2 linked regions of the Anolis sagrei genome follow. The protein of the gene in region 2 interacts with the protein of the main gene of each other region in a biochemical or structural test. Links are inferred from orthologs where the notes say so. Each region holds a gene or a part of one and is shown on either strand. Other genes may lie near its edges. The genes, in order: CNTNAP4 and APBA1.

Region 1 (11,023 bases), about 11 Mb from region 2:
AATACATCTTCCTCCTCCTCCCCCCCCCCCCCCCGCCCTCCACACACAAGTATTTATGGATCTTTCTGGGTCTTCCAGTACTATTTCATTGTATGCTTCCAACCGAAGCATAGTCAAAATGTAGCATTTACTATTATCAACAGTTTCAGGTAGCCATGGGGGTTTTGGAACATATTTCATAGGATCATAGAATCATAGAGTTGGAAGAGACCTTGTGGCCCATCCAATCCAATCCCCCGCCAAGAAGCAGGAAAATCACATTCAAAGCACAGATACAGGGCTCATACTCTATTCTCACATTGGTTTAATGCATGTCAATATTTTCAGTGATACCTAACCTAAAATATGAGGTTAATTATAGTTTAGTCTAATGCTTATTTCCATGGAATTCCAAAGAGATGAACATTTCATAACACACAGTTTTGTCCAAAACAATGACTGCCAACCAGTTTCAATAATTTCTATGAAAAAAAATCAAATAAAAAAAACTTTCAAAGTTTGAAAAAAGTAATAAAATAAACCCTATATTGTCTCTATTGGCAGAACTTTAGAGCTTTCATTTGTACTTTAAGGCTTCACCATGACCTTTCACAGTATCAAATTTATGGCTATATGTGTCCGTTCTACTTCAATTGCTTTGGAAGTTTTAATTCTTTAGAAGGAGATGACTTTTGTGTTGCCTGTACTTCTCAAAATATAAGTGTTCCCAAGGACAGCTATTCCCATGCTTGGTAAGTCATCTAGTGATAAACCTCAAAAAAGTAAAATATATCTCCTTCAAAATTTTATATTTGGCCTTCAGTTGATAAGACTTGCCTATTTCTGATACCTTAAATAAGCATGGGGGTTTTCAGTGAAAGTTTAGCTTTGGCTCAGAGTACATGCTTTGGAGGGAAGTATATGTAAACGAGGACCAATACACACCTATGAACTGTGATTGAACAATACCTTGCATACTTAACAGAAAATATTTCTATTGGTACATTTTTAGTTTAAAGTAAACAGTTGTATCAGTAAAAGAAAGAGCTATTTTTTAAAAATCTTGGGAATCATGGTATGAGCTTGGGTAGATTTTAAGATCCAGCATTAGGTCACATATTAATTATATATTAATCTACAATGCGAATGGATGGAGTCTCATTTCTGAGTACAATAATGATGTCCTTAGCAAATCCTATTTCTGAGGAAAATCAATGCAAGAGATAGAACTTGAAGGCTCTAGTACTTGGTTCTCACCATTCACATAGTAGTTTATTGATGTAAGAACTGCAATCTTAGCTATTAAGCCTGTATTTATGTTAATACCAGTGATAACTGAATAAATATGGAAGCTGAAGCCAGAATGTTGACTTGAAATTATAAACATATAATATGCTAATTATTAGCAAAATGCTATTACAGGTCAAATACTTATTTCGGACCAGGGGAGTTATATCTATTACCAAAGAAAGGGAAAGTCATTGAAATAATATCAATGACTCGAAGAATATTTCAATTTGTAAGGGGGAAGAGAGAGAGACTGGATCTAGACCATATCAATTGATTTATACTGTATCTATTGGTCTTTAATCCCAATAGGATCAACAGGACAGCTTGCAGATCATGACTAACTAAAGCATGATAATATAATCTATAGGTTAACTCCACATCTACAGTATTAACAGATAAGAATGATGTGTGCAACCAGTAAGGTAATGCTGAACCCAGCTCTTTGGTACAATTTGGGACATTGGCTTAGTTTTTAATAAACATAATGACTATATATCGGTTTTATCTCTGTATTCATTTCTTTATAAAGCTACTCAACCCTCTTCATCATTGCATCCCTCATATTTCACATTTCTAAAATTGCTAAATATCCATTTTATTCTGAACTTATTTCAACCATTGCTTTACAGCAATTAACCACTGCATGTAAAAGGACATATTTGAAGCAGTTAACAGAGGTGCATATAACTCAGAGGTGTGTTGGCTCAAAAAGTAAAGGCAATAATCACAGCAGATATCTGAGGTTTTGTTATTCTGGTTAATTTTGTTCTGGGAAGATCTTTGCTATATTTTTCTCTGAGTATTGCTTACTAAATTGTAAGAGTGACCTCTAGTGCTTTGCTGCTTCAGTATATTTCTTGGAATCCTATTTTGCTATAGGTTTAAAATGCCTTTCCACAACCATCTGTTTTAGTTTTGTGCTTGATACCAAAAGTTATTAATGTGAGAATCATTTATGAGACCTATATGAGTATGAATGGAGTCATAGAGTCCATCCAGCAGAGCATTGAAGAATTTAAGCATGCACACACACACACACACACACACACACACCAAATTTGGATAAATAGCAGTGGGCCCCTTTTTTATTCTGTTCTGGAAAATCTGCACTTGAATGTCAAATGACATATCGTGACAGAACAACAATAAAAAGACCAGCTTGGTCCCACTGAGCAACTGTCAGTTATATGATAGTCTATCTCAACCCTCAGCCTTTAAATCTCAAAGCATATGATGAAAGCTCAGCACTGCCACTTTCATTTCTCATTTAAATGTTCTCAAGGACCTGTCCCTTCCAACACTGTTTTAACGTTATTCACGAATTCCTACTAGTCCCGGCACTCAGTACCTCCAGCTATAATCACCACTAGGTTCACTGATACAGACAGAGGCTTTATCAAAAGAACTCTGCAACTGTTAAAAGAATATATTGGACACCCAATTGATATGTTTAATGTAAAATTAAGTATATGGGGCATACAGAATACCTGAGAAAAACTATAATGTACATCCTAATGAACAGTCAATGCTTAGTGCATAACACATGCACATACACACACAGTGTACATACCAATAAAAACCACATCTGAGTCAGAGTTAGAAACTGTTTATGCAGATCTATGAAAAGTACTTGTTTTCTAGCACACTCACTCACTTACATTTTAGAATCCCATTCTGGGTTGTTTTTCTATCTAAAGTAATGGTTTCACTATCATTACAGAATATATATTTATATAAAGCTACATATAAGCAACCTTTACAATGCTGCTACTGAAATCCACTGCCTCGGCACACATGAAAATTACGCACACTGAAATCAATGAACATGCCATAAAATCTCATTCTCAACATTTACTCCTTATTACAAATGCTGTGCTCTTACACTCTACAGCACTGAATAGCAGAGTTCCGCTTAATACAAGAGAGCGGGGAGGGGGGAAACCTGTCTGCAAAATTCTACATGTCTTAAAGCTCAAGGTGATGCAGCGGAGAATATCAGCAAAGCAGTAATCTCCCTTAAAAGGCTTAACTCCTTGCAAAATACTGTTATGCTGCTATACAGCAAGCTTTTGCAAAGAAGGAAAGAAATACAGCACACCTTCAGCAGAATGTGATTTTCCAATTATATTGGATCCTGGCTTAGCTGACAGCGTTCTGATTACAACTTGCTTTTAAAAAAAATAAAAAATAAGAAATGAACAATTTGTGAAATGACACATTTTATCCTCTGAAACACTTTCATCCTATCTACTTACTTACTGACCAGAACAAATGTATTGGAAGAGTTATTCTTCCCAGTCTGGATCTCATTACACTAAGTTTTTTGACTTCCTCCTAGAACAGCCTGATTTAAGTTTGAATATCCATTTGTAATACTTACATTTGTTTCCTGCTGCTAATATATTCCAGTGATGAAAAGGAATCAGAAAGACCAGTTTGAAGAAGATTTGAGCAAAAGAATCCATGTCCTCATTGACTGAGGCACCCTGAAGTGCCCGAGTATTCAGAAATGGGGACAGCTGCTCTGCACTTCAGTCCTGTTCCCGCTTCCTCTTCTCTCCTTCTGTTTCTTGCTCTCTGCCTGCCTCTCAGTGCTTCCGAGTAGCCAATAGCTCAGCCAAATGCACTCTGCATCTTCTCCTGTGTGTGTATATATATACACACACACAGGGAGAGCACAAGATCTGTTCCTTCCCCCTTAAAAACAGCAATCCCTGAAGAGCAGCTGCAAGGATCTCGCCTCTAATTTCACAGAATCACTCAGAGCTAAACTGCAAGACTACCCTGTACAGTTTGGTTACTGAAGCTTCACATTCGTAATGTGTCCTGGACACCCCTTGTGGTGACAGGTAGGAAATGAGAGTCTATGATGAAAGCCAGACAATAAAGAGAGCAGCCTGCACATGTGTGCCTGTACAGCCTCCCCGCTGGATTATGACTGTTCCCAATTATTTATGGTCATGCAAGGGGAAGGGAAACAGAAGCAGAACAAGAGCAGAAGGAAAAAGGCTTTCATCATGACCACCCTTTCCCCCATTTAGTCTGTATTTAATGACAACTTTCACCTGCTCTATCATTCACAAAGACTAAAAGAAAATGTTGTAATTTTACATCAGAATTTACTATCATGCAACCAAACTGTATTTTGCCATTTTGCAGACAATAATTCTTGTATTCAGCCATAGAACCCCACATTCATCTTCAACTGATGCTGAAGGATATTCCCCTGAGAGTAATTTTTAATAAGATGTGGAGAGCCCAAATTGCTATGAATTGTAACCCCACAGATGTACTTCAAAAGCTCTGTCTTGCAGTTTTTCACATATATTGTAGGGTATAATCACAAACATAAAAGGGAAGGCTAGAATGACTTTGAACTGTTATTATGCAGCACTGTTCAGTGGATTTTGAGTTTGAAGTTCTGTAAGGAAGTTACAGATTGTTAACTACTACTTGTAAATGTGATAGTATCTAAACACAAATAAAAGGATAGATACCTCTTCATTGCGAGCCAGGCCATCTTGGTTTCAGTTATCCAATTCTTAGGATTGCTAGAAACATGTTCCATCATAGACACTGCATGTCCTTGAGACTTGTGGTTGTTGTTTATTTGTCCAGTTGCTTCTGGTTCTTTGTGACCTCGTGGACCAGCCCACACCAGAGCTCCCTGTCAGCCGTGGCAACCCCCAGCTCCTTCAAAGTCAAGGCAGTCATCCAAGGGCAAGATGGATAAATACCACCCATCCATCTTGCCCTTGGTCAGCCCCTCTTCCTTTTTCTTTCCATTTTCCCCAGCATCATTGTCTTCTACAAGTTTTCCTGTCTTCTCATTATGTGGCCAAAGTACTTAATCTTTGCCTCTAATATCTTTTCCTCCAGTGAGCAGTCAGCTTTATTTCCCGGAGTATGGACTGGTTTGATCTTGCAGTCCTAGACACTCTCAGAATTTTCCTCCAATGCCACAGTTCAAAAGTGTCCTTTGCTCAGCCTTCTTTATGCTCAAGGTCTCACAACCTTGAGACATAACATTTATTTCCAAAAACAATTACATTCAACCATGACTAAAGAAGAATATCCAGAGAGAGATACCACTGCATATTCTCCACTAGAGACATAAATAAATACTGATCCTATTTATGCTGTTGAAACACTGATCTCAGTTGGGTCAATGAACTGTGTTCTCCATAACATTAACATACCTTTTGAGAAGTGAAACACACACTTGTTCAAGACAAATTGCTATATTTCAGTTCTGAGTAACATAATTTCTAATTAAATGGGTGGTAGCTGATGCGGGGTGGGGGGAGGGTGAATGGGTGCATCAAAAACAACAAACCAAAACAGATGGATGAAAGATTCTAGCAGGTGCTACAAATCAAGATTGTGCCTAATAATTTTTCATTTTCTCATTTCATCATGGGTTTCTTCCTATTGCATGTGGAAATTCAATCATACAAGGTTTGAATGAAAAGTAATGCCTCCACCTTCATAACTCCTCAACAGATGGCAGTACTGGTATGCAACTGGTATTGGCTTATTCAGTAGACTCTCCTCTTCAGTTCCATTTGGCAGGAAGCTTTATCATTGAATCGTTGTGTTGTTAAAATGAGAAGTATGGAGCCCTGCGCAGACGGTCGGTCAATGCGACTTAAACAACATGCAGTCATTGAATTCTTGACAGCAGAAGGTGTCACCCCAAAGGAGATTAATCAGAGAATGCAAGCTCTTTATGGTGATTGCATTGATGTGAGTACTGTGTGTCACTGGGTGAGAAAGTTTAAAGATGTTGAGGTGGGAACATCTGACTTGTGTGGCAAACAAAGAGTTGGACTTCCTGTGACAGCAACCATCAAGTTTCACAAGCAAAATGTTGACAGAATGATTGTCGTATCACTCAGAGAGAAATTTCAAGCATAATCGGCATTTCACAAGAACATGTGGGTCACATTATTGCTTTGCTTGGCTAGCGGAAGATCTGTGCACGATGGGTACCCAGTGTTGGGGTTCAGCCTGAGTTTGAACTTGAACCTGATTCTCTGTTTGTTCCTCCTGATGCTAATGAAAATATATTTACTGATGCTAATGAAAATGTACCTCTTGATGCCAATGCTCCTGAAATTAGTGAGGAAGAAACTTCTGTAGATTTGGAAAATGAAAGTACCAGCGTTCATGAGAATGTTTCAGAGGGAAGCCATGACCTTTCACTCCCTTCTGCACCTGGTAACTTTAATGAGAACAGAAGGGGCCAGATCTGGCAAGACAGAAGTAAATCACTCAGCTTGCGAAGGTCTTCCCAATTAAAAGAAATACAAACAACGGCTTCAAAGCAGAGAGGCGGTTCACCGAACCAATTCTTCGGCTTTAAGTGCCTTCCGCCGGGCTGACTTTCTCAGTTCAGGCATCGTTTCAGATTGATGAAGACCTTGGGAGTTCTCCCGGTTTTCCTAGCCATTGTCTTGAAAGATTTCTAGGATATCAAGTATGGTTAGTGGATTGCTAACAGGTTCCAGTATTTTACAGTGTGGCTTTGGGGTTTTTTTGTCCATTTAAATTCATGTTTGCTGATTTTGCTGTGGCTTTTGACTTGTATTTTTCCTTTATTCTGTAACCATTTTTCTTCAATAAAAAAGGATTGTTTTTCACAGTCAAGTGTGGTGGATAGTTATCTTAGGGCCTCGTTTCCTGCTCTGGATTGCAACACCCAGGATGCTGATGCCTGAAATGAAAGCGCACAGACTTGAAATTTCAGAGACTGGATTTCACCACCATATGGCATCCTCCATATAGTCCAGATTTAACAATGTCTGACTTCCATCCCGATAATGAAAGAAGATCTGCGGGGTCATCCTTATGCTTCTGATGAAGACATTGTGAGAACTGTGAGATGCTGGTTGCAGAAACAGTGTCAACTTCTTCCGTGACAGCCTTAGAAAACTTGTTCATCATTGGCAGAAATGTATCCCATTGTCTAGTGATTATGTAGAAAAGTGAATAGTGGTAGTTAAAGAGCACATTCTAAGGATTATTTCTGCATTTGAATTATTAAAATATTCCCACCCAAACCCAAGTAATGAAGGTGGAGGAATTACTTTTCATTCAACCCTCGTAGTTTCTCCAAATTTATGGTGTGATTGGGTTTTCCACCTTTTGCACCTCTGAAATGGATCAGAAGACTTAGATTTCCAAGATAAAAAACCAAACAGATCCCTTTTCCAAAGGCAGGATCTCCCTGGACCGGCTAGATTTTAAACTAACTCTATTTTTATTTCAAGGGTATGAAGCATTAAATCTCACCAAGAGAAATAAGATTAAACTGGATAATTTTTCTAGTGGCAATGCCCATCTGCATAATGCCATAAATTACCACCACATCGTGACATATATTTGCATTTTTGTACTAAAGAAAATATATATTCCTCTACATGATTTCTTTTTTTTAAAAAAAAAGAGTAAGGTATTTTATAGTTAAGGATTATGAATGTTAAAATTTAAGTCTACTTACATTGACACAAGAATAAATGTAATCATTGTATTGTCGAAGGCTTTCATGGCTGGAATCACTAGGTTCTTGTGGGTTTTTTCGGGCTATAGAGCCATGTTCTAGAGGCATTTCTCCTGACGTTTCGCCTGCATCTATGGCAAGCATCCTCAGAGGTTGAGAAGGTCTTCATTAGCATTTGACTCAGGCAGGCCTTCAAATGCTAATGAAGACCTTCTCAACCTCTGAGGATGCTTGCCATAGATGCAGGCAAAACGTCAGGAGAAATGCCTCTAGAACATGGCTCTATAGCCCGAAAAAACCCACAAGAACCTAAATGTAATCATATTTGAATATACAGGAGTTGTGACATTGAAAGAAATGACAGCTGGCTATGAGTTTAAAGAGTATTCACAAATATCTCACCTCCATCAAGAAAAGGTCTTTTGTCACATTGAGAAATCATGTGAAATGTGATTTTAAGGACTTTTTGTGAAAGTTTCAGAGGCTTATCTATCTATCTGGTTGATACCCTTAGAACAACCCCCCCCCCCCAAAAAACCCCCTGTTACATGTCTTTTTTCAGAATCTCCAAATGAGAAAATCCTTAGGTAAAAATGCCAAAATCCCCAGTCATTCTGCCCAAGACTAAACTGTAGTTCTCATTCTTGCATGCAATGAATCAACTAAGCGAAGATTTTAATCTCTACTGTGGAATCCCACTTTTTCTCAAACTAGTTATTCTTGTGAATACTGAATACATTAGTTAGCTCAGAACACAGACAAAAATAAGTGAAACGTATAATTCATGACAAGAACTCATATGCTGTTTTCCTGAGAAATTAAAGATTTAGTCTTTGACTGCATTATTTTGTTCCAAAATTATAAGAACTGTTGTTAGTTGTAATGTAAACAAATCTTTGTCTTGTGAAATGATAGAGAATAATCAATTTAAATATGCAATAATAATCACATCTACCTTGAGATTAATAACTGATTGACGAGATCATCCACCTTTCTTGTATGAGTGTACAAAAATTCACATATTTGTATAACACTAAAGATTACCATCATATCGGTTGGATCTCAGTAACACTATTATAACCGAGGTATCTATAACATTCTAACTTTTATAATTATGATGTTCCTTCAAATACTCTATGATTCATATTATGGAGGCTGATAAGGGGGAAATAATAATTGACTCGCTTTAATGACTACATTCTACCTAGCTTCTTCTCACTATATTCTTCCAACATACACACACAATTATGACATGCTCTCTTTCTTATTGTTTGAGAAGCTATTTAGCTTTCTATTTGAAAGACCCTTTATTTCTTACTTCAAATATGTACTCTCGAAGGACTTAACTGTCACCTCTGCAGTCTTGCCAAACTTTAAACTCGTTTCTTCCTTTCCCTTATTAAAAGTCCTTCTTTCTGTCCTTTTTGTAGTTCACTAACATTAATCATCATTCCATTTAATGTTATCATTGTGGCCTTTTCTCCATGACCCCACTACAGAAAAGAACCAAACTCATTTCTTTTACTCCAAAGCATCTCATTCCATCTTTTATTTCAAGACTGTTCTGTAGAAGAACAAGGCATAGTTTAAATTATCCCAATGGCATTCAAGACTAGTCATTCTCAGATCTCCTACAGGATGGGCCTAAATTAATCATAAAAAGGTCCTACATATAATGAATATGATGCTGTATATTAGATAGCATTTATGAGATTTGCTTTTTCACACATAATGTATTTTTTCCTATATATATATGGTATACGATGCTATGGCATTGTAAATTAAAAACAAAAAATAAAGGTGTTATTAAATATTGAAATTCTTTCATGACCTTTGGCCCGCCCTGTATTTGAATTCTTGGAATTAATCACTAAACTGTAATTTAGGGAATAGATGCTGAAAAAAAGACAGACCACCACAAGCAACAGACCAATTCACACTCAGAAGTAGCAGCATGAAATCTACTTTCAAGTGGCAATGGCTAGCACCCTGTTCTTTGTTTGCAATATCATAAACCAGACTTGAGACTATCTCATGAAGAACGATTGCAGCTGGAACAACACCATGTACATCCCACTGCAGGTCTGCCCCCTCCTCCCCTGCTTTATAATTTTCCCATCCCTAGGTATTAACAGGAAACAATCAATAGCTCCTATCACCTACCTTAGTGTGATGGATCAGTTCCATTTCTGTGCCAGCATGCCAGCAGTGCAGTGATGTGAAGGAGTGGGATTGTCCTACCCCCCCCCCCAATCGTTATTCCCAAGATGAATGTTACATTTGCTTTTGATACTGAATGCTGTAACAGTATCATCATTATCATAGAACAGCAGCCATTCTCAGTACACATCCAAGTTCATCCTATGAAATAAAATGTGGCATTGTATCCAGCCAATACCAGCTGCAAATATCTTATTTCCTGTTAAGTGTTTTCTTCATACTCATTCACTCAGGCATCACTGGCATTGAAACTATTAAATACTCCTAAGAAGAGGGGGTTTATGTATTTTAAGAGTGGCCATTGGATTCCAGCTCACAACATTCAACAATACTGGTTATAAAGGCTAGCACTGTTGGCAGGTATAATACAGTACATCTGGAGCGTCATACTTTGGTCAATCATGGTACAGAATTAATCTAGTTTAACAATTGTGGGTAAAATGGAAATTTGACCTTTATCAAATTTAGGCTACAGATACAAAAAGGAAGCTTCACTATTCAAGTCATTTTCTAAATCGGTTTTAAATGATGTGTTATGTTGATGGCATTTGTTGTCAAAACATATTGCATATGTCACATTTACCTCTTTATTACACTAAGTTCTATAAATTTCTATAAATTCTTGGCATTTTATAGCTGAATGCAGATTTTTGTATGCTTTGGATCTCAGTACATTTTGACAGTTGAAGAGATATGGAATATAAGCACTTTGTTGTTTATTCTGTTAAATGAGGTTTGCCACTGCTTTGAGGGACTTTCATATGATCTTTTCTTGTAAAATGAACAATCCCTTCATTGGCATGTTTTCTGGGGATTATTACCCAAAGAGGGACTCTTTTTTTAAAAGCATGGATAATTAAAACAACTTTTTTGTATGAATATACTCCCAGGACATGCATTATCATTCATATTTGTCCCTTACAGATGGCTGAGGAACTTCTGTCATGCATCCCCCTTTCTTGGTTTGCTTCTATTTCTATTGTTCTCACAGACATTCTGGGACTGATAATGGCACCGGAGGCATTTGCTATT
Region 2 (11,073 bases):
AGACGGCAAATTATCTCACACCAGAAGCAACTTGAAGTTTCTCAGGTTGCTCCTGACACACACACACAAAAGCATTAATTCTATAGCGTAGATGCACCCAACGCGCTTCCCTCCCCTGAAACTGGTCTGTGCCAGCAGGAGTGGCAGGTCCTCTCTTCCCAATCGAAGAAGAGTAGAAGGATAATGTGGATGACGCTAAAATGATCGTGACAGCAACAGTAGGAACAGAGTCAGCCAGCTGCTGGGGAAAAGGGTCCTTCCCAGGAGACTCCAGGACAAGAAAGCACTAGTAACCCCCCTCTTATCTTCCAGAGAAATAAATTGCCTTAATCCCCCCTCCCTTCCGCACAGGGCCACATTTACTATGTGGGTGCCCTGTTGCCCTTTGCCACTCCTCACTCTAGAAAGCAAGACAGACAGCCCCCCTCCCAGGCTCCCACAACCCACTGGATCGGTTTCATAGCAATCATAATCCTCCCCGGTAAACACACACGTCACTCACTGCCTGCATGCACCAAGCCTCGCCTCCTGCCATCTCAATGGAGAGAGAGAGCGAGGCGCATCCATCCATCCACCTACCTTCTCCCTTCTGTTCTCCCTCCACAACCGTCCTGTCCCCAGATGTCACAAGTGTCACCCCAGCCCTTAAGTCTTGAAGAGTGGGGCGATCACTAGTTTCTCTCCTTTATAATCCAAGGAGGATTGCCCTCTGGAGCAGGGGAGAAACAGGCTCCAAGGTCTCTTATTAGATGTAAAATCTATGTGTGGCTGTAGAATAGATGTTCTCAAAGACAGACTCCACTCATAGAGGTTTGTAGTTTATTTATACAGAGTGGAGAAATCCTCTGGACTGAAGGAGAAATCAGCTCCAACTTGAGGCTGTCGCTTATTTCTCCCTTTCTCCTTTACAATCAAAGGAGGACTGCCCTCTGGAGCAAGGGAGGAATAGGTTCCAATGTCTCTTATTAACACCTATATAGGTGTAAAATTGATGTATATCTGTAGAAGAGACGTCCTCGAAGACAGACTCCACTCGTAAAGGTCTGTTTATATGGAGAGGAGAAATCCTCTGGACTGGAGTAAAGGAAAAATCAGCTCCAGTTCTGTTCTGTGTTTGGAACTATGTAGGTGCAAAATGTATCTGTATATGGAGGGGGAGAGCTCTATTACCAGTCATATAGTCTTGTAATGCATTGTTATTATCGATAATATCAATTCTGTTCTCTGTTTGTAACCTTGTAGGTGCAAAATTATCTGAAGGGAGAGAGGTCCAGTACCAGTCATATAGGGTTGCAATTTATTATTATTATGTATAATCCCAATTCTGTTCTCTGTTCGCAACCATGTAGGTGCAAAATGTATCTGGGGAGTGGGGGAGGTCTATTACCAGTCATACAGGTGTGCAATTTATTATTATTATGGATTATGATAATAATAATACTTTATTTCTAACCCGCTCTCTCTCCACAAAGGGACTCAAGGCAGCTTCCAAAGACAAAAATGGCAAACATTCAATAAGAGAGATCCTCTGGAGCAGAGGAGATATAGGCTCTCATTTTGCTCTCTACTACCAACCATATAGTCCCTCCAGGGGTGAGAAAAGCGGTATATAAATACTGTAAATAAATAAATATAGGTGTAACATTGATCCATATGGAGGGAGAAATCTTTTGGAGCAGAGGGGAAATAGACTCTGATTTAGTTCTCTACTACCAACCATATAGGAGTAGCACTGATTCCTATGGAAGGAGAGTCCCTTTGGAGCAGAGGAGAAATGGGCTCTAATTTAGTTCTCGACTACCAATCCTACAGGTGTAACACTGATTTCAAATAGAGGGAGAGATCCTTTGAAGCAGAGGAGAAAAAGGCTCTAATCGATTTGCCCCAAAGAAATGGGAAATTATTGTTTCCATTTGATGTTTGATGTTCTGTTTATGTCTATTATAATAGGCTGTGCTTTTTATTTAATTTAGTTTGTTAAGTTATAATTCGTATTTATATGTTGGGTTGTATAAATTTTGTTAGTATGGATGTATTGTTGTATTCAGGCATTGAATGTTTGCCTTTTATATTTGGAATTTGCCCTGAGTCCCTTTGGAGAGATAGAGTGGAATATATATAAAGTTTTATTATTATTTTATCTAATTTTGTTCTCTACTACCCACCATATAGGAGTAGCACTGATTCATATGGAGGGAGAGTTCCTTTGGAGCAGAGGAGAAATGGGATCTGATTTAGTTCCCTATAGGGTTGTTTTTTTTTGTCGTGTCAAGAGCGACTTGAGAAACTGCAAGTCGCTTCTGGTGTGAAAGAATTGGCCATCTGCAAGGACGTTGCCCAGAGGACGCCTAGTTGATTTTATGTTTTTATCATCCTTCTGGGAGGCTTCTCTCATGTCCCCGCATGAGGAGTTGGAGTTGATAGAGGGAGCTCATCCGCCTCTCCCCGGATTCAAACCTGCGACCTGTGGGTCTTCAGTCCTGCCAGCACAGGGGTTTAACTCATTGCGCCACCAGGGGCTCCAAACCCTATAGGTGTAACACTGATTCATATGGAGGGAGAGATCCTATGGAGAAGAGGAGAAATAGGCTCTGATTTTGTTCTCTACTAATCATACAGGAGTAACATTGATTCATATGGAGAGGGAGATCCTTTGGAGAAGAGGAGAATTAGGCTCTCATTCTGTTCTCTACTACCAACCCTATAGGTGTAACATTGATTCATAGCGAGAGAGAGATCTTTTGGAGAGGAGGAGAAATAGGCTCTGATTTTGTTTTCCACTACCAACCATACAGGAGTAACACTGATCCATATGGAGGGAGAGATCCTTTGGCGCAAATGAGAAATATTCTCTGATTTAGTTGATTTAGTTTTCTACTACCAGCCATACAGGTGTAACACTGATTCATATGGAGAGATCCTATGGAGCAATGGGCTCTGATTTAGTTACCTACTACCAGCCATATAGGTGTAACACTGATTTATAAGGAGGGAGAGATCAATTGGAGCAGAGGAGAAATAGGCTCTGGTTCTATTCTCAACTACCAACCATACAAGAGTAACACTGGTTCACATGGAGGAGGAGATCCTTTGGAGCAGAGAATTAGGCTCTGATTCTGTCCTCTACTACCAACCATATAGGTGTAATACTGATTCATATGGAGAGAGAGAGAGATCCTTTGGAGCAGAGGCTCTGATTTTGTTCTCTACTACCAACCATCTAGGAGGAGCACATGGAGGAGATCCTTTGGCGCATATATGTGTAACATTAATTCATATGGAGGGAGAGATCCTTTGGAGCAGCGTTGAATTTGGCTCTGTTTCTATTCTCAACTACCAGCCATATAGATATAACATTGATTCACATGGAGGAGGAGATCCTTTGGAGCAGAGGAGAATTAGGCTCCGATTATGGTCTCCCTCCACCACCAACCATATAGGAGTCACATTAATTCATATGGAGGGAGAGATCCTTTGAAGCATAGGCTCTGATTCTGTTCTCTACTACCAACCATCTAGGAGTAGCATTGATTCATGAAAGAGAGCACTCCCCTGGAACAGATTCCAATTTTGTCCTCTATTATGAAGCATGTAGGTGTCAATTTTATTTATATGGAAGGAAGCTGAGGAGAAACAGGGCTCCAATCCATATTACCAACCACACAGGTGTAAAGAAATATTCATTTTGGAGGACAGCGAGATCTCTCTGGAGTAGAAGAGAAACGGGCTCCAATTCCCAACCATTTAGGTGTAAGGCTTATTTGTAGTAAGGAGGGAAATCTGGAGCAGAGGAGAAGCAGGCTCCAATCTCAATCTCTCTCCTTCTAGGTTTCCAATGCACTGCTATGGAGGCATGCAAGCACACCCCCGCATGCATCCAGGCCCTCTTGCTTGGCAGGGAGATCCCCATTTTTCCCCCCTCCAACAGCACCATTGATGATCCCTTTCCCCTCCAGTTCCATGCACTGAATACATACAGAGGCAAGCAAGGCAAGCATGCATCAAGTCCTTCCCCTCCTCCCAAGGCCCCTCTTCAGCTTCCTTTCCATCTCTTAGAAGATCCCCGTTGTTAGCTTATCCATTGATGAGCTACCCATTGATTATTTCTCTCCCCTCGCCCCCAAATCAAAAGGAAAAAAAAAGAGAGGAGGGTTACCTTCTTTTTCCTTCCTCCAGGGAACCTGCGCATCGAGGGGGGAATCTGGATCTGGATGGAGGCGGAGGTTAGAAAAGGGAGCCCAGGCAGGCGCGCGCCCTCTTTCCCTCTCGCGCGCGCTGCGGCCGCCTCTCCACCATCTTCACCCTCCTCCTTCCTCCTCCTCTTCTTCTTCCTCCTCCTCCTCCTCCTCCTCCTCCTCCGCAGCCCACCCGCTGGAAAGCCAGCAAGCCCCGCCCCTCCGGCCCCTCCCTGGGCCCGCCCCTCCGGCGCCCGCGTGACTCCCGGGCCTGGCAATGAGGAGGAGGAGCTGCAAGGCTTGCAGCTGCAAGGAAGGACATCTCTGCAAACGCAAAGCAAGGCCAGCACAATGTGGCTGCGGGAGGAAACAGGAGGAAGAGGAGGAGGAGGGACTAGGCCCGCTGACCAGCTACACCAGGCATGGCCAAACTTCGGCCCTGCAGGTGTTTTGGACTTCGACTCCCACCATTCCTAACAGCCTACCGGCTGTTAGGAATGGTGGGAGTCGAAGTCCAAAACACCTGCAGGGCCGAAGTTTGCCCCAGTGCTGTGGCTTCCTGGGATTTGTAGTTTCATAAGGTCCTTTTTAGCCCTTTCTCAAAGACTTCAGAATAGGCCCTATCAATGAGAGACCTCTAGGGTTGTATCTATGCTGTAGAGCAGCGTAGGGACATCCGTAGGGAGACCAAGGTGCTTGTTTATAAAGCTATTGTCCTCCCAACCCTGTTATACACCTGCGAGAGGTGGACTGTCTACAGACGTCACATGCAGCTCCTGGAACAATTCCATCAGCGCTGCCTCCGGAAAATCCTGCACATCTCTTGGGAAGACAAGTGGACAAATGTCAGCGTGCTGGAAGAAGCAAAGACCACCATTAACTCCATTTGTCCGGCCACGTTGTCCGGATGCCTGACCACCGTCTCCCAAAGCAGTTGCTCTACTCCGAACTCAAGAATGGAAAATGGAATGTTAGTAGGCAGGAAAAGAGATTTAAAGATGGGCTCAAAGCCAACCTTAAGAATTCTGGCATAGACACAGAGAACTTGGAAGCCCTGGTCCTTGAGTGCTCCAGTTGGAGGTCTACTGTGAGCAGCAGTGCTGTAGAATTTGAAGAAGCACGGAAAGAGAAAAACGTGCCAAGAGGAAGGTGCGTCAAGCCAACCCTGACCAAGACCGCCTTCCACCTGGAAGGCAATGCCCTCACTGCGGGAGAACATGCAAGTCAAGAATAGGGCTCCACAGTCACCTACAGACCCACCGCCAGTACACTGATCCTGGAGGACTATCCTACTTGGACAATAAGGGATCGCCTAAATCAAGAGGAGCATTTCTCAACTTGGGGGTCGGGACCCCAGGGGGAGGTGTCTTGAGGGGTTGTCAAAGAGGTCACCAAAGACCATCAGATAACACAGTATTTTATGTTGTTCATGGGGGTCCTGTGTGGCAAATTTGGCCCAGTTCTATCATTGGTGGGATTCAGAATGCTCTGTAGGTGAACTATAAATCCCAGCAACTACAACTCTCAAATGTCAAGGTCTATTTTCCCCAATTCCACCAGTTTTCACATTTAGGCATATTAAGTATCCGTGCCAAGTTTGATCCAGATCCATCGTTGTTTGAGTCCAGAGTGTTCTCTGGATATAGGTGAACTAAAACTCCAAAACTCAAGGTCAATGCCCACCAAACCCTTCCAGTATTTTCTGTTTGTCATGGGAGTTGTGTGCCAAGCTTGGTTCAATTCCATGGTTGGTGGAGTTCAGAATGCTCTTTGATTGTAGGTGAACTATAAATCCCAGCATCTACAACTCCCAAAAGACAAAATCAATCACCTCCCCAACCCCACCAGTATTCAAATTTTGGGTATTTGTGCCAAATTTGGTCCAGTGAATGAAAATATATCCTGCATATCTGTTATTTACATTACTATTCATAACAGTAGTAAAATTACAGTTACGAAGTAGCAATGAAAATAATGTTATGGTTGGGGGTCACCACAACATGACGAACTGTATTAAGGGGTTGCGGCATTAGGAAGGTTGAGAAACACTGCTGTAGAGATACAGGCCTGGGCAAACTTGGACTCTCTAGGTGTTTTGGACTTCAACTCTATGTGTGTGTGTGTGTGTGTACACACACACATATAATAAAAGTGAAAATATGTATGTGTGTATGTGGCTGGAGTGTCTACTTATAAAGACTAAACTTCTGCCTTCACAAACAGCTCTAACTCCCAACTACCCAGGACACACCGATGGCCCTCCCTCCAATAATACTGCAGGTTATACTGAGTGCCTAAACATGTGCAAGAGGCCTGCCAATGTCCTCCACAAACATCATACTGCCCACCACCCAAGTGAATGCTTTCATATGGGGGCAATTTCATCCTAGATGTTATGTGTTTCCTCCTCCACAGACATCCCACTGTTTCTTACTCTCTCCATTGGTGTGGAATTTGCATGACCCCACCCATGGCCTCTCCCTTAACCCTTTCCTATTATTTTATATGGCACACAGCAAACAGGAATTGATCAGCAGCTGAACATACTAGAGGGGAGAATTCACCATGATTTATAGGAGTTGTAGGTACTGGGATATATAGTTCACCTGCAATCAATGAGCACTCTAAATTCCACTAAAGATGGAATCAGACCAAACTTGGCACACATCTTTGGGGGAAGTTCACCTTGATTTGGGTGAGTTGTAGCTTACCTACACCCAGAGAGCACTATGAACCCAAACACCGATGGATCTGGACCAAACTTGGCACACATACCCAACATGCTGAAATTTGTTTACTGGAGAGGTTTGGAGGGAAATTGACCTCTCTTTCTGGGAGTTGTAGTTCATCCACAACCAGATAAACTATGACCCCCACCAGTGATGGACCTGGATCAAACTTGGCACATAGAATGCACATGACTAACTCAACCTACTGGAGGGGTTTGAGGGGACTGACTCGCCATAGTGGGAGTTGTGGTTTACCCTACAACCAGAGAGCACACTGAAGCCAACCGATGATATATCTAGAGCAAATTGTGGTGATCGTTTTGCTGTCTGTGCCCCTGTTCAGCAAATTTCACCTCATTTTCTGTCTGATAATTAGATTTAAAAAACTTTGGCTTGTTGTGGAAACATTTTTTTCCTGTGTAAGGAGCGATTTGAGAAGCTGCAAGTCACTTCTGGTGTGAGAGAATTGGCTGTCTGGAAGGACACTGCCCAGGGGATGCCCGGATGTGGAGACCCCTTTTCCCCATGGTGGACTTTTCTTCCTAGAGGCAGATTTCTCTCACTTCCTGTTGTCTCATCCTCATTCTTAACTACTGGTGATTTATTAGTCAGATGTTTGTAACTTAGGGACTGCCTGGGTTAAATATTTAAGAGAAGTTAAAGACTAACACTTCAACTCTATGCATGCTTGTGTAGAAGTCCTACAGTGTTCAGTGAGGTTACTCCTTATAAAGTGTGCATAAGACTGTAGTCTAAAAACTATACAATATCTCAATATACAATATCTCAATATATGTTATTTCCCACAGTCACCTACAGATGTGAGAGCTGGAACATAGAGAAGGCTGAGTGAAGGAAGATAGATGTTTTTGAACTGTGGTGTTGGAGGAAAGTTCTGAGAGTGCCTTGGACCGCAAGAAGATTCAACCAGTCCATACTTCAGGAAATAAAGCCTGACTGCTCATTGGAGGGAAGGATAATAGAGGCAAAGATGAAGTACTTTGACCACATCATGAGGAGAAAGGAAAGCTTAGAGAAGACAATGATGCTGGGGAAAAGGAAGGAAAAAGGAAGAGGGGCTGACCAAGGGCAAGATGGATGGATGGGATCCTTGAAGTGACTAGATTGACCTTGAAGGAACTGGGGGTGGTGACAGCAAACAGGGAGCTCTGGCATGGGCTGGTCCATGAGGTCACGAACAGTCGGAAACAACTGAACGAATGAACAACAAATTTCAATATAAAATTAAGCGTACAATATTCTCCCTTAAAAACAATTTTCCATAGTGTATACATTAATATTTTGAGGAAAAGTTATATTGTTGTGAGAGCTAAATAAAGTTCAAACCTAGCAGATTAAATCATTATTAAAATACACTTATTATAAGCACACAAAGTGGAATTAAATCTGTAAACATGCATATTTTGCTACAATGCTGTTCACTGTCAATTTTAATCTTTTTTAGAGGAGAAAAATCCACTCCAGAAGAAAAGCATCTTTGAATTTAAGTTGCACTGAAATTAACATAACTTGTGCAACCATTTTGTTTCCAAATCAGAGCTTAAGGCTATTGTGCTGTCACACCCAAGGTGCTTTAAATGGCTTTAGCATTAGCACGTCCTGGCTTTATATCAACTTGGGGGATGCTGGATTGCCTTCCTGTTTGAACAAGGAACCCCACAGAATCAATGTCCATGTTACTGCTTTCAAAAAAATAATAATTTATTAATTGGTCTTGTGGGCCTATCTCTACGTAGGCACTATCTTGATTTCCCCACAACAAAGTCCATACTTAAAGTTTGAAGGTAACTTGTTCTTGAGGTTGCTGGTCATGGATGACTGGAGATGAAGGACAGATGAAAGTTTTCCTTGATCACTTTCTCTGGTAGAGGGGCTTCTGGTGATCAAGGTGATAATGCTAGAGGTAGAGAGCACAGGTCCCTCCTATTGAGACCTGACCTCGCTGAAGGTGCTGGAAACTCCATAAACTGTCACTGACCAGAGGTAGGTTAACATAGCCGGATGAGTTCCCAGATTAGTTATTGGCTTGAAATGGCTTGTCAAAGCCTGAATTTCACTGGGACCAACTACAGACACGTCTTGCTTCCAAGATTTCCTGGTGGTAATAACCCTAAGCTAAAGATAGCTCTTTTTCCCTGGGCAAAAGGGCAGGCAAACTTATTGATATAAACCAGGAAGGGTTTTCTTAAGCTCCACCCTCGTAAAACTAACAGAAAAGTGACTATTACAGGAGCAGTCAAACCGCCTGTTCAAACAGCTCCACTGACTGCCAATAAGTTTTCGGTCCCAGTTCAAGGTGCAGATCATCACCTATAAAGCTCTAAACCAGTGGTTCTCAACCTGTGGGTCCCCAGATGTTTTGGCCTACAACTCCCAGAAATCCCAGCCAGTTTACCAGCTGTTAGGATTTCTGGGAGTTGAAGGCCAAAACATCTGGGGATCCACAGGTTGAGAACCACTGCTCTAAACGGTTCGGGACTTGCCCATCTTCAAGACCACATCTTCCCTTACGAACCCACACGGTCTCTGAGACCTAGCAAGGCCCTTCTCTCGCTTCCATCTCCATCACAGGCATGGTTGGTGGGGACAAGAGAGAGGGCCTTCTTGGTTGACGCCCCCTGGCTCTGGAATTCCCTTCCCAGGGGAGATCAGACTAGCACCCTCCCTATCCACCTCACAAAGATCTAAAGACATGGATGTGCGGTTGACTAAACAATTCCCTTGACAATTGGCCCCAGCTACGACCCAACAATTTTGACCATGCACTTTATTATTGTTGTATCCAAAATCAGAATGATTCTTCTTATATTGCTCTTATCCTTAACACTAGGAGCCCCCGGTGGCACAGTGGATTAAAGCACTGAGCTGCTGAGCATGTTGGTCGAAAGGTCGCAGGTTCGATTCCGGGGAGCGGCGTGAGCTTCCGCTGTCAGCCCTAGCTTCTGCCAACCTAGCAGTTCGAAAACATGCAAATGTGAGTAGATCAATAGGTACCGCTCTGGCGGGAAGGTAACGGCACTCCATGCAGTCATGCCGGCCACATGACCTTGGAGGTGTCTACGGACAACCCTGGCTCTTTGGTTAGAAATGGAGATGAGCACCACACCCCAGAGTCAGACATGACTGGACTTAAGGTCAGGGGACAACTTTTATCTTTACCTTAACACTGCTGTATGACTTATGCAATTTACACATTGGCCCTGTCCTCTGAATTGTGTATCTATCCACCCACCCATATCGAGACTTCTTGTTGGTTTTGATGTTTGTTTTATATTTGTTATAATGTTGTTTTATGCTGTTTAAAATTGATGGAATGCATTCTAATGTGCTACGTTTTAACTCTGTTGATTGGGCTTGGCCCCATGTAAGCCGCCCTGAGTCCCTTTGGGGAGATGGTAACGGGGTATAAAAATAAAGTTGTTATTAGTTGAAGCACAACAAGATGAGTCCACAGCAAACAAAATCACTATGCTGGCTATTGTATTGGATCACACATTGGACACTTCCCAATATAATAAATTGTTGTTGTTGTTGTTGTTGTTGTTGTTCTTATTCTCAAACTGTGGGTGAGCAGCCTAACAAAAGGAGATGGGACGTACATTTCCATCACAACAATACTTTCATTTTTACCCCATTAATACAAAGTTCCCCAAATAAACACAAGAACTTGTCTCTTTCTAATTTAGGATAGTGTTAAAGTGATAATTTGCAAATATTGAAACGTATAAATATGGCTCTTTACAGCTACGTGCAAATTCAACAATTAACCCAGACTCCCAGTTTATTAAAAAGCTTAATAATGTAACATTTAAAAGACCTTTCACAGATAACATTAAGCTGTTTTAATCATAGCAGCCAGGTGGAGCAAGCCTCTTGAGAAATGAATGGCTCTTGCTTAAGGTCTATAACTGTCACGTGGGTTGTATCCATGAATGTGTTCACATCCTAGAAGAAAGCCACAATATATTACAAGGGAGCGAGAGAATATACATGGCTTTTTAAGGTCAGAAAGCTCAACAATTGCTAGAGAAAGAAACCAATGCTTCTAGCATTTGAAACTCTGGAATTCTAGCTTTCAAATATCATTAAACTTTAATCTCTAGTTTTTAGAGTGGTTTGCGAAATGCATACTGTACAGGAAAATGGTT

Evidence for each region.
Region 1: the proteins of APBA1 (region 2) and CNTNAP4 form a complex in vitro, tested with the Homo sapiens proteins (2 studies listed by BioGRID and IntAct, with this or other methods). The link is inferred for Anolis sagrei from reciprocal best matches to the Homo sapiens genes APBA1 and CNTNAP4.

What each region holds. Positions count from the first base shown.
Region 1 is NC_090022.1:232,924,567-232,935,589, forward strand, and holds the start of CNTNAP4 (contactin-associated protein-like 4), read right to left. Parts: upstream 4,169-11,023; 5' UTR 3,735-4,168; coding exon 3,650-3,734; intron 1-3,649. UniProt on the Homo sapiens protein: Presynaptic protein involved in both dopaminergic synaptic transmission and GABAergic system, thereby participating in the structural maturation of inhibitory interneuron synapses.
Region 2 is NC_090022.1:222,037,273-222,048,345, forward strand, and holds the start of APBA1 (amyloid-beta A4 precursor protein-binding family A member 1), read right to left. Parts: upstream 4,337-11,073; 5' UTR 4,157-4,336; intron 1-4,156. UniProt on the Homo sapiens protein: Putative function in synaptic vesicle exocytosis by binding to Munc18-1, an essential component of the synaptic vesicle exocytotic machinery. May modulate processing of the amyloid-beta precursor protein (APP) and hence formation of APP-beta.